Linked DNA regions of Caenorhabditis elegans. The protein of the gene in region 2 purifies or fractionates together with the protein of the main gene of each other region. This does not show direct contact. Each region holds a gene or a part of one and is shown on either strand. Other genes may lie near its edges.

Region 1 (3,489 bases), on a different chromosome or scaffold from region 2:
AGTTGTTGTCTCATGTTTTTCTGAAGATTTTTGTATTTTGATTTCAAAATGTAGTTTGTTTAATAAATAAAAAAACATATTTTTCTCGAAAAACTATGAAGAATTGACCGCAGCAAATAAAGTTTGGATATACAGTTCACTTTAAAGGCGCGTACCTTCCGCATTTATTAAAATGATGTCGTTCAGAAACCGAACCAGCCGCAAAAATAGCAAAATTCCGCGTCTGGATAACATTGAAAATTCAAAAACTTGAAAAAAAAACTAACATGAATCAAGCTTTTCTTCTTATACGCAGATACTCCTAAATTTAAAATAATAGCGACGAGAAGAATTTGTTTCAACATTTTGAGCAGCACTCTGACTGATTTCTTATCAATTTACGAAGCACAATTTTCCACTTTTCCGGGTGATAAGTCTTTTAACTGATATCACTGATTTGGACTGGGCCGTTGAACTTTGACGTGATTCGATGATTTCAGAGTCATAAACCAATTCTACTAATACGACTTTCAAAGTAATAAAAAAGTTTTTATAAATATTCATTGAACATTTATCTCTAGCAGCAAACACTAATAAAAACAAATCTAGTTATACACGAATCAATTATCAATTAGTCTTTGATTCCTTTTGATTGCTCAAATTTCTTCAACTCTTGTTCCACAAGATCATCGGATTCATCCTTAACTTCGATAACTTCCTTCACTTCAGGCACGTAGAATGTGAGCATATTCTCAATTCCATTTTTTAAAGTGACTCCAGAGCTTGGACATCCTGTGCATGAACCTTGCATCTTCAATTTGACAACACCATCGTCAAAACCAACATAAGTGATATCTCCACCATCTTCTTGTACCATTGGTCTGATACGTGTCTCTAGAATTTCTTTGATCATCATTACAACTTCATCATCTTCTTCCACTTGGTCGGAAACAGTTGCAGCTTCATTTATGACAGGTTTTCCGGTTTGAATGTGATCAGCAATTGTTGAGAAGATTTCCGGACGGAGGAGAGCCCAGTCAACAGTCTCATCTGATTTCGTGACAGTTACAAAATCTTCTCCGAAGAACACACGCTTCACTCCGTCGACTCGAAGAAGTTTTCTGAAAATTTACAAATAAATACTATTTTATCTGAATGGTAGTTAAAATTTGGAATATTCCTTACATAGCAAGTGGACTTTGTTTTGCTGTAGCCGCTGAGCTGAAATCGTATGTTTTCGAGGCGTCTGGGAGAAGCTGTTGACCTGAAATACTACATTTCAGATTTTAAACAGTGAAGTTTCCACTAACCAGGTAAAAATTTTAAAGAAAGTGGATTAGGTGTCTCCTGAACTTGAATATACATTGATCGAGCTGAAATTTTAAAAAATGAAAGAATTTCTGGAACCAGTATCACCTGCTTGTACAAAGCTCCGGTTCAGTCTTGTGAGCATTTTTGATGAAATCATTTTTCTGAAAATTTTTGTTCTTTCAACATCTACCGACTTAATTCTCAAGATATAGGAATCAAAACCTCGAGTTGTACATTTCAATAGCCTAACCTGTATACTTTCAAGAATCACGATTCATGGATCAACATAAAGCGAAGAAAGTCATAATTAATTAGCAATGAAATAAATGCCCAGGTTTCATATGAAACAACGAGTAAAACATCAAAAGTGAAAAATAAGACACACTTTTCAATAAAGGGAAGAAAAAGTTGGGACCATTTGACATCCGTCTCAAATACATATGTGTTGTGTTGGAAGACTTGAAAAATAACCGAAAAAAAAGAAGTAGTATGTCGGGGGAGATATAAAAAGAACAAAAAATGGGTAAACGGGAATAATTTGGACAGAAGAGTACAATTTCCACAAGGCTGAGCTCGCAAGAAAACACTTGCTAGGGATGGGAAAGATCGAACATTTGAGAGTTGAAAGAAAAAATGGACCAAAAAAGGCTAGATTTAAAATGAAGAAAAAGTGTTACAAAACCCGGAACGAGGAGACGAAATAAAGAAAAATGGATGCAATTCAACCGGGAAGACATATTGTTTCACGGTTGAATAAAAAACAAGTAAACACCGAATTATTATGAGGGGAGGGGGGACTAATTGACAAGAAGACGATTTTGTGAGCGATATCTACCAGTTGGAAGACCATTTATTTGACGAGGATGACTGATGATTTTGTTGGCCAGATGCAGACTGCTGTTGCTGTCCAAGTCGGTTCCAATCCATTCTGTAATAAATAAACAAATATTTAATTAGAAATCGTAGAACTTACGCTTGAGGCATCTGACCGTAAGGCTGTTGCTGTGAACTCTGTCCGTATTGCTGATACATTTGCTGCATAGAAGTTCGAGATGGGTTCGTCGTGGAAGATGCATTTCCAAGAGAAGAGAATCCAGGTGGAGCTTGTGGAGCAACAAATGGTGGCGGTTGGGGCCGAGGTTGGATCATTCCGAGTCGCGATTGATTTGCAGAAGCGTTGCTGGGAGCTCCGAACGGCTGTGGCTGTTGAGAGTTATGCATGAACGATTGTTGTGCGAGTCCTTGTTTCTTCTGTTGTTGTTGTTGCTCGAGAATAGCAGCAATAACGCCATCAGAGTCATTCTAAATTTCCATTCATTAATTTTTAAACTGATCCTGCTATCTTAACATCAAATTTGTCCTAAACTTACATTAAATCCATCAAATTGCTTTATTCCTCTCTGTGACAATGACGGCATGCTAATTTGCCCTAAAACACTGGCATCCGTATACGAAGGTGATGGATAGTAGCTATTTGCAAGTTGACTACTTGTTGGACCAGGTGCTCCTGTAGAACTCTCTTGATGAGTCAATAATTGGGCGGCAAGCTGCAAATAAATCAAATAACGTATTTTCAGACATAAATCACGGATCCCTACATGGTTATACAGATTGGATCCCTGTCCATCTTGACCTAGCGACTGCATCTGATTGTAAAGTTGCTGCTGCTGTTGTTGTGATTGTAGCATTGAAAACTTTGAAGACATCAAGTCACTTGGTTGCTGAGAACTTTGAGACTGATGCTGTTGGTATTGTTGCTGGAATTGCTGAATCCTTTGCTGTTGTTGTTGTAGTGCTTGCTGCTGTTGAAGGTGTTGAATTTGCTGTTGTTGTTGCTGTTGAATATTCGTGGAAGTGCTATTAGCAACAGAATTCGATTGAGATCTTGCAAACAGGGGTGGTTGAGATCTATTCGGATCACGAGCAGACGGTGCAAATGAGGCTGGCATCCAACCTTTCAGTTCCAAAGAAGATAATCCAGTAGTAACAGAAGACGTAGATGGCTGCTGCACTGGTGCTGATGATATGGTTGAAGCACCTTGTGGACTCGAAGTAGCATTAGGAAGTGATGAGTTAATAAGAAGCTGCGATATGAACTCGTTTTGTCCCCATTCATTCTGAAATAAGATAAAAATTTAGAAATTTGTTTTCAATGCTGTTAAACTAACCGATGAATCATTTTTTGAGTTGGAATTGTTC
Region 2 (6,618 bases):
CCTATTTTTATTGAGAAGTTAAATGATATTATTCTTACTAAAATGAGATTTTTAAAAATAATTTTTTGAACAATTTTAGCTAAACAATTTTTATGTGTTTATAAATATTTAAGACAAAAATGTTTTTGAAACCCCATTATTTTCCCGATTTTTTAAAAAATTATTGTCACTGCTTTTTTTATTTTATTGTTTCAATTTAGTACTTCAAATTCTTGCAGAACATGCCAAGAAACTACGCTGACATCATCGGCCGTAACGCTGATCGTCTCATCAAAAAATATGAACACATTCCAACAATCATTTCCGCAGTTACCCTTGTCATTGGAATCTTTGTGTAAGTGCAGTGTGCTCTGTTCTTCTCTTATCATCAGATACACTTTGTTTCTGATTGTTTGAACAATTGAGCTTTAATTAAGAATTAAATGAACTGATAAGCGTTTTTTTTTAAATTTGATTTTTCAGATGTGCTATTCCGGTCATCGTGGATCACATGAAGAGAGCAAACGTTTAGAAGACCAAAAAGGACCGAAAATTATGTATTCTGTACATTTTAATAATGAATATCACATTACAAGTCATATGAGTTGTCTATTTGATAACAACTATCATAATAAATAATCTTTGTTTATAGTTTTGTTGACTGTAAACGATCTCCACAAGAAAATACCATTAAAAATGAAGGCAAAACTATAGAAGCACCGAAAAGTGATGTTATTCCAAGAATAACGAGCATTGTGCCTATCTGAAAATACTTAATGTTAGCATAAAACACGATATTTTAATAGCAAAATAGAACACAGAATTCACACCTGATAAAACGACGCTGTTTGTGAAAAAAGAAGAGGGCATCCAGCAAGAAATAGAGTCAGGGAACCGAAAACACATGCAATACCTGCCGTCGAATGAGCAGAAGTCAGTTTTTCAGATGCTGGTACACACTTCGTGTCACGAATAGCAACTACATAGTGCAAAGTGTAATCAAAACTGAGCCCAATTGTGATTATTAAAATGGTTGACTCAACTACAGACAATTGCCATCCTGAAACTAATATTTTTGAGTACATACTTTTTGAAATCACACTTTTGCATTCTAGCAATCAGTCGTAAAACATATTAGTGCTTTCAAAATTATATACATGCTTGTTCCCTACCTAACAAAATGAGGCTGGCCACGGTCCAAAGTATTACGAAGAATATAATAACGGAAGAAATAATTGAGAGTTTGATAACACGCGTGCAAGCAATAATCACAATGAGACATATTCCCAAAGAAATTGCAACTGAAGTGAAACTCGACGATCTGCAATTTTTCACAATTATTTTTTTTGATCAAAATTAAAAAAAATACCTGAGTTGGGAGACTATGTCGTAAAATCTGGTAATCTCTGTCGAGGAAAGACAAAGGACTGAATCAGATGTAGCATTTTTAATTTGTTTACAGGATTCCTCAATTTCTTGGAAAAAACTCCCAATCATTTCTGTATCAACTTGCAGTTTTTGATTTGATGGGATTGATATAAAATATCTGAAATAGTTTTAGTCACCTCTGGTCATTATTTTTAAAAATTGGGTTTGAACGAAATTCTCGTTATGGATCAAAAAAGATTTAAAAAATTTTTTTTCCCCAATATATTTTTTCAATTCACTTGGAAAATTAATGTTTACTGTGTGCATTCAGTACGAGAGCTAACATGATTTTTGAAATTCGTTTAAAAATCAAAATAATTTCTCACCCAACTACTTTGAGATCCTGATCAATAAAAGGACCATCTCCTGGAATTACCGAAAAATCGTCAGGAAATTGATGAATCAAATTCTTATTTCGAACGGATGCTGATAGAATGCATTCATGGATAATTGTCTGAAATTATTTTCTAAATTTTAAACTTTTGAGCTCGCATTATTACTTTATTCTCCGAGAAACAAGACTCATTAGCTTGTAGTATTTTATCAGCCCATGACACGTGAGTATAGTTAACGAGTTGATACTTTTTTGATTCCAAGTTCACGATTCTTCTATAGAAGTCTAATTTATCTGTGTCAAGGCTGTAGTGCGCCTGTGAAAAGTTTTTCGATGGTTTATTATACGGACTCAGTGTTGAAGTTTCTCTGAAATCAAAAATTTGTATGTAAAACTTATTTTGAATTTTCATACTTTATAGCATCAACTCCAAAAACAAAATTTTTCACTAATCTCGCCGATCTTTGCCATTGAAAATTGAAATGATGAACGTTGTTGTCAAAATACTCGTGAATATTTGAGTCTACAAGAAGCTGAACAATACTTTAAATTAGTCAGCATTTTTTCCATTATACAATTTCTTACTTTAGTCGGATTTGTTTGCGGAGTTTTCAATCCCGGATTCTGAAAAATGATGAAAAGAGACAATCCCGTCATAATTAAACTGCAAATAAAAATTCCAAAGCGGAAATAGTGAGTGGTCTCCGTGATCTTAGAAGCAAAATATGAATGACTTTCAATCTTTTCAGGTTCTTCATCTCCGCGTGAAAGCTTCTTTCTGATTGGACGTGAGAGAATAATTGCTCCGGGTAAAATTAAAACTACCAGAATATAGTTTACAGTAACAGTAAGTGCTGCATATACTCCAAAACATCTGAAAATCATAAGTTTGCCGGCGATACATCGATTTTAAACAAACCTCAAAACAATGACTGGACTTGAAAGATTTGTAAGAAAAGTTGAAGCAGTTGTGAGTGAAGTTACAAACATGGAGACGAGAGAATGATGTAATGATAGACGCAGACTACGAGACAATAGATCAGATTCTCGGTAAAGAGGAATATAAATTGAACCAACTTTATACTCCAAGTGTGACATTCTCTAGAAAATATTATCCTATTGAAATAAAAATTGAAGAAACTTACCTCAACTTCTCTCCTGTAATAGACTAAAAGAAGAAACGCATCATCTGCTCCAATTGATATCAATATCACAACAACCAGAAGATTGATAAATGGAAAGAAATCAATCCCAAGGACTACCTAAATTGATTTTTACAAGCGAAAGTAACATAAAAATTTGAATTTCAATTACAGTATAAATGAAGAAAGCCACACCAGATGATAACGTGACAACCATCAGAATTATACAGGTGAATATTATACTTCTTGAGTAGATCAAAAAACATGAAAATACAAGAAGAGCTGAAAAATTGGGAATTTGTTGATATCGACGCTAAAACTTCAGACCTGAAAATGCAGCAAATAAGCTGTCGGTTTGAATTCTTTCTTGAAACACTTTATTTTTCATGTTCAATGCTATTCCAGCCATTCGTGTATGTGGATTTCTTTCGAGGTGGTCCTTCAATTTATCAATTAAATCATCATAGAAGTCTCTATTCTCAGCTCCATTCCACATTGTTACCTGAATTTTCATAACTTTGAATAAAAAACCAAATGCTATTTCTCACTTTCAACACAACAACAATAATAAAATCTGAAGAATTTCCTTTTGTTAAAAGCCAATTGTTCACTTGGTTAATGGAAAATGCCGAGCAAACTTCATCTGTTGAATTGATCTTGCATTTTTGTAGTAAATATCGAAAATTTAAAATGCTGAAAGATTATTGAAAGCCAAATCTCAAAAATTGTGAGGCTCACTCATTTTCATTTAATGCTTCACAGGAATTTTGAGTAGTCATATTGGGGCAAGTTGTGTAATATGGGATGTTTAAAGAATGTTTTAAAGCTTGGATGGGATTTGTGTAGTTAGATTCAATAATTAAGTTGTCGACAATGGAATCAATTTGACAAAGGTGTTTCATGACGTTCAAACTGAAGAGCTGCAAATGCTATTTGTTGAAAAAATGTAGTTTTTCCAAAATAAACAGCTCACATCATCATAACTAGACACTCGTATCATAATTTTTCCTAGATATTCTATCATATCGTAAGGTAGAGCCTTCCCAATAGCCCCATACATTTCACATGGATCTTCCAAATCGGAGGAGTTAGGTTCAGAATCGACACCGTAATCATCATAATTAACGGTAATTGGGTCAAGCGTGGTTGTTGTATCATTCTTGATATATCTCTTTCGACGCCCAGGATCTTGTCTGAAATTAGTTTTTTTCGTGCTAAAACATTAGGAGGGCTTACTCAAAATACCACCGAAGAATATTTTCATTTGAAGCTTGATGTGGTTTCATCGCTTCTAGTGTCATTCGTGCAGATGATAATGGACTTCCTCGAGTTTCAAATCCCTTAAGAACAGATTTATTGTTCCACTTTTTAAACATTCCTCAATCAAGAATTATGATTTCAATATTCTGTTATACAAATATATGTTGAATTCAGGTTAGAAAATTCTGTTAAGATAATAAGCTTGCTTACTTTTGTCGGATCGAAATCAATTACTTGATAATTGAAAGACAGTGCCCAAGACGTTAAAATCACAGAAATTGTACCAGTTAGAACTATACATATTATCGGATAGTCAATAACAACATGTGCATATCTGAATTTGAGATTTAAGATTAAAAATTAAAATTGAAAAATGAAAAAAAAACAAACTTCATGAAAATTCGTTCCGTGATCCGTGAAACAGTGGACATTTCTTCAAAAAAAAAAGAACTAGGTGACCAAGAGTGAACAAGAATGATAGTGATGGGTGACAATCGAATGTTTGCGCTTTCAACTACGTGCCTCTCATTCACTGAACGATTCGAGAAGAATTCAGAATACAAATATACATGCACATTTACAACGAAACAACTGTTTATTCTATACAGATTCATTCTCGTATATTTTCGATTTTTGATTGATGATTCAACAATTTTAAACAGGAAATCATGAGAGTCTGAGAAACCATTTATGGATGGATATGACAAAATTAACAATCTAAGTTAAATATTTTTTAGCAACTTTTATCCCAATTACTGATTTTAATTGGTATTCCTGCGTCAGTTGCAAAGCAGCCCAAAATTTCAGAAAAAAGCTCCAAAAAGCGGGTAAATGTTTAGTCACAAATTATTCCCGGTATTTAGCCATTAATGATCCTCCATTTTGCATTTATATTAAACTTGCGTACTTGTGTACAAAAAATGTTTATTTGTTCTCCGTCAAAGTATTAGGAATTACTCACTAAAAACAAAACTCATATTTTTCTGCTGTCATTCGAACATTCTTTGTTAACATCTGAACATCAAAGCATTTCTCGTTTAAGATTATGCTAAAGTTTATATAAACGTCATTTGAGACTACGGTAGTGGACGTTCAAGCTCCGCCCTTTTTCGAGAAAAAACAAGCATATAAAATATGTGAATTTTGGAAATGAGTATCGTAGACCCGCTTTTTTAATCCAGTAATTGTTTGCGAAATTTTATTCATTCACGAGTCGTGAAAATGTCGCATTCTAGCTTGATTTCTTGAAATCGAGGTAATGCGGCTTTTTATAGTTTGATGCAACGAATTTTTTGACACTACAAAATTATTATACAATTACCCAATTATTAAAAAAAAAAGTATAAGAACACGTTTACTACATGTAGTCAGTAAAACTAAAAATTTTTGATTCTTTCAGATGCGAATTCCATTTTATACTGTTTCTGCGGAATACCTAGGTTTTTTCGTAGCATTTATTACTAATGTTACATTAATCTACTTAATCATAACAAGAACTCGACAGAACTTTGGTTCATACAAGTACTTAATGCTATGGTTCGCTGCATTTTCACTTTGGTACTCCATAATTGATATTCTAACTCAACCAGCAATGCATTCATATCTCAATAGTTTTATTGTATTTTGTGCAAGTTGGTTTAAGTATGATCCCCTATTGGCTTCAATAATTATCCGTAAGATTTTTTAAATATGTATTCATACTAAAAATAAATGGATTCAGCAACTTACTGCACTTCATACGGACTAACACTGGTCCTGCTTGCCATTCATTTCGTCTATCGATATATTGCGATGATCCATCCAAACGAAATTCGTTGGTTCAAATATCCACGTGCACTGGTTTGGCCTCTAATTTTCATAATTCTCGCAGTATTTTGGTGGTGTAATGTATTTTTCTTATTGAGTAGTAATCCAACATTCAATTTTTACTTGAAAGATACAATTCGTGAGAACTATGAAGAAAACATTGAACGTCTTTCTTACATTGGTCCATTGTATTTTGTGAGAACTTGAAGCATTTGAATTTGTTTAAAGAGGGTTTTTCAGATTGTCGGATCTCAAGGCGAAATTCAAATTCAATGGAAAAGTTGTTTGGCAATGACCAATGTATATTGCATTGCAGTGAGTAAATCAAATAAATCAAATGCTACCATGTCTGAAATAAAAACTTCAAACTAAAAACATTCAGATAACTACTCTTGTTACAATAATGTCTCTGGGCTATTCTATATATATAAAGATGCAGTCAGTTAACGACATGGTAGCAGAAAAGACACGAGCACTTCAAAGGCAACTGTTCCATGCACTTGTACTTCAGGTAACCTTTGAAACTTTCAAGATGAGGAAGTTCTATGATTTAGACAATTGTTCCAATCATCTTTATGTACACTCCAACAACGATCCTATTCTTATGCCCTATAATTGGTGTTGAGCTAGGAATGATTGCAAACATGACTTCAGTTTGTTTGGCTCTAT

The links.
Region 1: the proteins of ptd-2 (region 2) and nfu-1 fractionate together in Caenorhabditis elegans (co-fractionation; one large-scale study listed by BioGRID). This does not show direct contact.

Annotation. Positions count from the first base shown.
Region 1 is NC_003282.8:10,385,375-10,388,863, reverse strand, and holds nfu-1 (NFU1 iron-sulfur cluster scaffold homolog, mitochondrial), read right to left. Parts: upstream 1,452-3,489; 5' UTR 1,448-1,451; coding exon 1,396-1,447; intron 1,353-1,395; coding exon 1,290-1,352; intron 1,244-1,289; coding exon 1,165-1,243; intron 1,101-1,164; coding exon 611-1,100; 3' UTR 513-610; downstream 1-512. Other genes in the region: R10H10.3 (CUB domain-containing protein), read right to left, coding at 267-344; Ankyrin repeat and KH domain-containing protein mask-1, read right to left, coding at 2,122-2,218, 2,264-2,592, 2,661-2,837, 2,889-3,407, 3,459-3,489.
Region 2 is NC_003283.11:9,248,231-9,254,848, reverse strand, and holds ptd-2 (SSD domain-containing protein), read right to left. Parts: upstream 4,618-6,618; 5' UTR 4,575-4,617; coding exon 4,534-4,574; intron 4,478-4,533; coding exon 4,354-4,477; intron 4,224-4,353; coding exon 4,120-4,223; intron 4,077-4,119; coding exon 3,857-4,076; intron 3,804-3,856; coding exon 3,622-3,803; intron 3,577-3,621; coding exon 3,432-3,576; intron 3,386-3,431; coding exon 3,211-3,385; intron 3,166-3,210; coding exon 3,056-3,165; intron 3,004-3,055; coding exon 2,887-3,003; intron 2,843-2,886; coding exon 2,661-2,842; intron 2,616-2,660; coding exon 2,327-2,615; intron 2,275-2,326; coding exon 2,156-2,274; intron 2,110-2,155; coding exon 1,908-2,109; intron 1,862-1,907; coding exon 1,734-1,861; intron 1,526-1,733; coding exon 1,349-1,525; intron 1,301-1,348; coding exon 1,152-1,300; intron 1,040-1,151; coding exon 810-1,039; intron 743-809; coding exon 626-742; 3' UTR 521-625; downstream 1-520. Other genes in the region: F07C3.9 (T2SSF domain-containing protein), read left to right, coding at 222-334, 463-511; str-94 (Seven TM Receptor), read left to right, coding at 5,543-5,816, 5,864-5,982, 6,190-6,264, 6,332-6,460, 6,504-6,618.